Mus musculus: one gene and its partner. The main gene of each other region encodes a partner of the protein of the gene in region 2 in a complex. Links are inferred from orthologs where the notes say so. Each region holds a gene or a part of one and is shown on either strand. Other genes may lie near its edges.

Region 1 (3,651 bases), about 94 Mb from region 2:
TGCTCAGGCACCTAGACACCTGTGCACTGCTGTAACCATGGTTACCGCAAACATATGCTCACCTTTGGACCATGTTCCTCTGTGGATTCCATTGTTTACATAATTGCCTGCACATGGAAACTGAATTTCGGTTAATTAGCGTGTCTGGAAACCTCTGACCTGCACTAGCCTGGAGTTCGTCCTTATCTCCCACCCGTGCAGAGAATGTCCTGTTGTCCTGTGGCCAGTGAAAGGGGCTGAGCCCCCAGGAAGCACTCACCTGACAGAACCATAAGTGCTGCACCAACTGGGGACAGGGCCCACCACAGGAGCCATGTGTCCGAAGGCTCCTCACATTCAGAGCCACTGCGGCAGGAGCAGATTCTCACGTGGACTGTCTGCTTCTGGGCGAGGCCCTGTCTGTCAGCTATGAAGAGTGGCACCAAGTAATCCCCGGGCGGGACGCTTCTCAGCATTGTGAGTTCAGCAGAGTGGCCTGCAAGAGCAGAAAGACATGAGTGAGCTCATTGGCCCCCTGTGTATCTCCTTGCTACTGTCCAGGGCTGTGGCTCTGAGAGTGGGACAAGACAGAAACTCAGAAAAGCAAGGAGCAGATAGGACAGAAAAGAGGACCCTTGTCCCAGGAACTGGATAGTCTTTCCTGCTGGACACCCATTGATGCTTTCAAAATTGCCTTCAACAAGGACAGCGCATAATTTCCTAACCACACCTCAAATGAGGATACAAGATAAAGTGTGCTAACTTGGGCCAAAATGATCTACAGCCCTGAGTTTTCAGCACCCCTTATTCTTGAATATAAGCAACACTCCTCATGAACCTATGTTACAACTTTATTGATAGAAGAAATGCCTGTAACCTTTAAACTTTACTGTAAATTATACTATCTAAACAAGCACCTTTAAAAAGTTCCAGGATCTGATCTACACACCCACAGGATCTTGCCCATACCTGCCTAGATCTTTTCAATACCCACATGACCCAACTTAGACCCACAGGATCCTGCCTCTACCAATAGGGCCTAACCTATACCCATAAGATCCTACCTAAGCCCATAGGATCCTGTCTACACCCACAGGATCCTGCCTACACCCACAAGATCCTGCCTATACCCACAGAATCCAGTCTATACCCATAGGATCCTGCATATACCCACAGAATCCAGTCTATACCCATTGAATCCTGCCTATACCCACAGAATCCAGTCTATACCCATAGGATCCTGCATATACCCACAGAATCCAGTCTATACCCATTGAATCCTGCCTACACCCACAGATGCTGCCTACACCCACAGGATGCTGCCTTTGACTCATCCATGCTCCTGTAAGAACCCCCATCTTGTCAAGCTGGGCTAGGATGAAGTCCTCCCTTTGGCCTGTCAGTCTCTCTAACTGGGATAAGTAGACATTTCTTTACATCTTCCCCACAAAAGCTCATGTGGTAGCATGCTCTTGGACTCAAAGAGCACCGTTCACATTGTTACAGCCATTGCTGCTCTTCACTACAAGGACAAGGACCCAGATGAAAATTAGGAGAGAGAAGAGAAGAGACCGACATCTGAGTGTGCAGCCATCTTCATCCATGGTGTCAAGAAGGCCAGCAGTGACAGCAGGCATGTAATACCCCACTGAGGCAAGTTCACCCCAGACCTCATGTCCAGAGTCCTTTCTGGCAGGGCTGGTCTCCCACAAAATGCACTCCAGACTTTAGGCTCTCCAAGTGTACTTGAGACTAGATGACTTAGTGTCCCCCACCCTAAATCACAGTTTGTTCCAGTCTGAATTAGCCTCCAACACATACAAACCTTCCCCCTGCTTTGTCCTCAGCATCCAAGTCTCTTCCACGTCTCCCTGAGCATTGTCCAAATCAAAAGTAAAGGGGTCAGCGTAGGGGTCCAGATCTGCATCCTCAGCTTCTATCAGCAGGGGCTGGCTCCCAGCCGACTCACAGACCTCCAAGTGTCGGGAATGGGGCCGGAGGGTTGGAGCATTGTCGTTGACATCAGATAGGAAAAGCATCAGAGTCCCCGTGCCAGTCAGCGGGGGAAGGCCTTGGAGAGGACAGAACCCAGGCAATAGAAGTTACAATATTAAAGAGAGAGGGTAAACATGAACTTACAGAACAGTAGTATCAGTAGCTCCTGAAGAGTGGGGTGCCTGTGAGAGTCCATAGCCTCTCTGTCAGGGTGTGGCCCTGCTTGGTAGACTCTTCCAGTGCAATCATGATCACTCGGGCATGCTCGCGCGCATACACACACACACACACACACACACACACACACACACACACACAAGTATCGGAGTATTGGGCAGCATGAACTGTTCCTGATGGGTTTTAAAAGAAGAAGTAGAAATAGAATCACATGTCCTGTCAGTCAGTCATGGTACGTGCAGTGGTGCTGGGAAGGAATTGGGTACCTCTCAAAGGGGAGCATGGGGGATCCCCAGGGAAGATGAGGTCAGCTCCAGCCTGTGGGGACATTGCCTATGATGACAGACTACACCATCTTATAAAGTGTACTGGGGAAAGCTGGGAAAAGGAGGCTGTGATGCTAAAACCACACGTGAGTCAAGTTCAGATACTAACAGCTTTGTGGATCATGGAGGATGGATCTTCCCTTATGATCAGCAGTTGGTGAAAACAGGGACAGAAACGCAGGACTCTGGCCCAAGGTGGAGACATGGCAATCAATCAGACTGCCTGTTGATCATTGCTACCCACTAAAGGTTTTCTGGTAATGAGCAAAGACCTTACAGACACTGGAAAGGGAAATGCCCCCTCGAGGAAGAGCCAGGTTTAGAGACTGTAGGAAAAGTATAAGAGGCCTGACCAACAATGAAAGCTATTGGTGGTCTCTCTGGCCACTAGCCACTCTCCTCCAAGCGTAATTTGCTTTCCTCCTCAGTGGGCCCTATGGCCACTGTCCGCTCTCATTCATTCAGGTGCCCACTTTCCTCTGTAATAAACTCTCTTGTCTCTCCACTCCAGGACATCATTTCTGAATTATTCTGATGGACTGGGGACCCCAAGGGAGGGCAGGATAGGACCATGGCAACAAATTTATGATCATTTAGAAATCACCTTTTGTAATTAAAAATAGATTAGGGAATCATGAAGCCATCCATAACAGAATCATGGAACCCTGAGTGCCGAATGGCTGGCTTCCCTTCCTGTACATCGGCTAGCATCTTGCTTCCCTAACATTCCACCAGATAATTATGCAAATGGGCTGGGCGGGTCCACAGTGCTTGGGCTTTCATCCACAGAGTTCTTTAAGTATGATCCTTAATGTTACTTGAAAATGTTCACACATGCAGCTTTATATTTGGATGCGTTTAACTTCAGCCTTGTGGGAATATTGAGAAATGTGCTAAGGCATGTTTTAAAAATCACTCGTCCTGGTTTATGACAAATGTGTTCCACTCAGTCACATTTGCTGGAGCTTACAAGCCGTCCCAGGTACGGGAAACTGCTAAATATTTATCACACATCGTTGGGCTTGACAAAGAGCTACTGCATTATCTTACGGGCAGATGAGACGGGTGGGCATGATTGCAGACTCCTCACTGGCTTAATTGTCTCTGCTGAGTGAACACTGCCCCTCTTTCAGCAGTATTGGTCCCTGGTTTGCCATTATGGGAGTTATTATCA
Region 2 (3,651 bases):
AAAGAAAGGGAGTGAGGACCAATCAATCCCATTGTAAAATCTTCCTCCATGGCAACTACGCATCCAAACAGTCAGCATGGCATCTTCAGCCAGCAAAGATCAGCTCTAGGAGGAAGAGCCCTCAGAGCAGACAGGTGCTTAGTGACCTCTAGGAGTCCCTAAAGCTACCTCTTCCCCCACTCCTGCCCACCTGAGGCGTCGTCGAGGGTCAGAGGGTGTTCCTGTCCGACGGGCAGTACCATAATCAGACATCATGCCGTAATCGAGGTCATCATAGCCCATGCTGCGCTGGTCATCCTCTAGCCCGTAAGGCTCAGGATGAAAACGATGCAGGTCCACACTGCTTCCACCTACTCGAACCTGGGGCTGGGGCCCATAGACATCTTGTCTACTGGGTGCCCGGTAGCCTTCCATGCTGGGCCTATACCGCTCCTCAATTCGGGTCACCCGGGACAGACTGCCGTAGTTGTCACTGCCACCTGGATAACCATCTTCATAGTGTCGGCCATACCCATCTGGAGGATAGTGGAAGTTCCTAGGAAGAGTGGCAGTGCCCGCTTGCCCCACATAGGGACCAGGGCCCCCATTGCCATTCTTGCGAAAATCACGGCCCAAGGTCTGGATATAGTTATTGGAGACTGCTGAGGCGTCCACGGGCAGCCCGTCTGGCCCCATGGGGACAGGCTGTACTGTCCGAGTTGTCATTGTCTTCACAACTTTTTTGACCTTCATTTAAGGAATAAGAAAAGGAAAACCAACTATTGAGGAAATAAAGAATCTAAGTTTAAATTCCACAGTACTCTAAGATAGAAACCCTACCCTCTAGGTCTTTATACAGAAGTGTGTGTCATCTATATCTCTTCTCCATCCTACAGAAGCCCTCAATGGAAAAAAACTGCCCAATCACTAACATCCTCTCCGGAAGCTACTGTAACTGTCATACTCCTCCTCTCTTCCCACTTCCTGAACTTCTTTTACCTTGTCTCTTTGCCCAGGCATCACTTTCTTTCTGGCAGACAGTGGCTTTGGCTCACTTAACTCGTTAGCTTCTCTACTAAAATACCACAGAGGACCTATCATTCTAAGACACGAAAATCTCAGCTTACTGTGGTCTCCGTGCGTCTAGTGGTCCCATCATCTGTGGTCTCCACAGAAACAACAGACATGGCTCCTTCAGGGTCCTCCTCGGTGTAGGTTTCCACAATCTGTCCTGGCTCCTGCATCCTGGGGATAGTGCTGTACAGAAGGTGGTTGTGATCCTATGAGAGAGAAAAGAGTGAAAATACAACTGAACCTATGTAGTAACAATCTATTCTAGTAAGAAACACAGGTGCCTCTAGAGACAGGAGGCCTTCATGCATCTCCCATTGTCCTCAGGGGTTTTTAATAAAAAATGGTTGTCATCTTTAATACTTGTACAAAAAGGCAGGGCATGGTAGTGTACACCTTTAATCCCAGCACTCAAGAGGCAAATGCATGCAGACCTGTAAATTCAAGCCTACCCTAATATACACAGCAAATTCCAGGTCAACTAGGACCACATGTAAAAGGACAGAAAATAAAACTTCCTAGTACTAGCTATCTAACACATATAAGTTTAAAAAGGTAACTAGAATCATGCTGACATTGCAGTGACTGGGACAGCAGGTTACCTCCCATTCTGGTCCCCGACTTGGATATTAACTGTGTTAACTGTAATATTTACACTGGAGCAATACTTCAAAAAGAACAGCTTACTCAGTAAAGATACGGATTTTAAAAAATAATAAAAATACCAGGTTTTTGCTTTGTTTTGGGTAGCTAGGCAAGCACCCCACCTGCCACTGAAAACATTTGGAGCCTCCTCCTACTTTTACTTTGGGATAAGGTTCCAGCAATCTCCCAGGGAGGCCTTGAAACTTTTGATCCTCCTGCCACAGCCTCCTAAGACACTAAGATTAGATTTGCCCCATCAGGCCCAACAAAGATTTTGTTATTCATCAGATTCGTTCATCTCCTCAGTTAGATTTTAGGTAAGCTTTTCTACAATGTAAAATTATGCTCTCCCTCAAAACAATTGCAGTTTTTGGAGGATCAAATGAGATAGGAATACCATGAGAAAAGCCAATGATTAAAAAAAAAATCAGCAAAACTATAATTTGAAATGGTACCTTTTTAATTTCCAAAATTAAAAAACTAGTAAATATTTACGATGAGCACTGCAGCATAGCAATATGATCATAAAGACTGGAGAGGTACAAAGATGTGAATGAAGTCCCTAGACCTTGAGTGGAAACAATTACCTGGGGTCCGTTGAGTTTCAGATCTGAAAATTTCTGTCTCTCAAGGTCAGCATCGCCCACAAACCGGCCGTTCTGAAACAGAGCCCACAAAACAATTCATGTTCTGGCTGACCTTTGTTCTGTCTAAGACAGCATCTTTCTTTCAAAAATGAAAGGGCTTTTGAGAAGGTATTTGTGGACTGAAATCCTTCTGTCGGTACTCACATAAGAACCATAACACTCCATAACAATCTTAGATACCACTTTCCTCTACAGGCCTAGAATTCTGGCAGGTGGGATTTCTGGAGCATGAGAATGTAAGTTCCATGAGTACACAGGGTTTGAGTCCAGTAGTTTCAAGGCTACTAACATCCCTAACATCTTGAACAGTACTTGGCACATTAGAAGCATTCAAAGACCATTTGCTTAATAACACAGACTCAGGTAAGCTCCCTACAGAAAACCTTTTGGAAAGCTTTAAGAATGTAAGTTAGGAAGGCTACAATGGGGGGTGGCGGAAGGGGGGAGGGTGTCCACAAAAAGCCTCCTTTTATTATCGTTCTAGGAATCTTCAAGCTGTGGTACCAGGGTAAACTCCCATTCCAGGAAGCTCTTGAATGAAGAGAGTAAATTCTCCATTTCCAAATACGAAGGAAAGTACTCAGCAACGCCCCTCAAAAAAAGTCTTCAACGTCTTTAACAAGTTACAGCTACAGAACACATTCTCAAACGTTGTTAAATTGTTCTATGTTAAGCACCAAGACATAACCTAATGAGACTGCATATATAAAGCACATGTCTTGCCCCTCCCAACAGAATACAACTAGATCCAATAACCTTGGGATCTTCTTCCACCCATTCCCCCTTTACATGCAGTGTAATGCTGCAGCAGGGGAGGAAGTTAACCATTGCTTTCAGGAAGAAGGAAGGGTGTGGTTTCATTGCAGAGCAGAGGTTAAAAATAAAAGAAGAAGATAAACCACTAAATCCTGGGATTCCCCACCACCTTAAAGTCTGAGCACCCCACTTTCCTTCAGTGTGTCTCATCCCTAACTCTCTACACTCAAGTTCCTGAAAATTTCCTTGAACGTTGTTGTTTATTTCATGGTCCTGATTATTCAAATGATATCTACTAGCTTAAGGATTAAGCAAGCAACTGGGCACGATTGTAACCCTAGCACTAGGGAAACAGAGACAAGAGGACCACAAGGTTGAGGTCAACCTGAGCTATGTACCAATACCTAATCTTCACAGACCCAAAGGTCTGGAAATGTTGTTTAGTGGCATGCACAAGACCCAGGATTCCATCCCCAGCTCCTCATACATAAGTAAGTAAGTAAAGAGTCTAGGACATAGCTCTGTGGTAAAGCATTTGTCTAGCATGTTCAGG

The links.
Region 1: Ctnnd1 (region 2) and Cdh26 share a complex: the UniProt entries of both Homo sapiens proteins name them as parts of the cadherin:catenin adhesion complex. The link is inferred for Mus musculus from reciprocal best matches to the Homo sapiens genes CTNND1 and CDH26.

The regions. Positions count from the first base shown.
Region 1 is NC_000068.7:178,468,408-178,472,058, reverse strand, and holds part of Cdh26 (cadherin-like protein 26 isoform a precursor), read right to left. Parts: intron 2,051-3,651; coding exon 1,805-2,050; intron 476-1,804; coding exon 260-475; intron 1-259. UniProt on the Homo sapiens protein: Cadherins are calcium-dependent cell adhesion proteins. They preferentially interact with themselves in a homophilic manner in connecting cells; cadherins may thus contribute to the sorting of heterogeneous cell types.
Region 2 is NC_000068.7:84,619,729-84,623,379, forward strand, and holds part of Ctnnd1 (catenin delta-1), read right to left. Parts: intron 2,355-3,651; coding exon 2,283-2,354; intron 1,260-2,282; coding exon 1,107-1,259; intron 727-1,106; coding exon 191-726; intron 1-190. UniProt on the Homo sapiens protein: Key regulator of cell-cell adhesion that associates with and regulates the cell adhesion properties of both C-, E- and N-cadherins, being critical for their surface stability.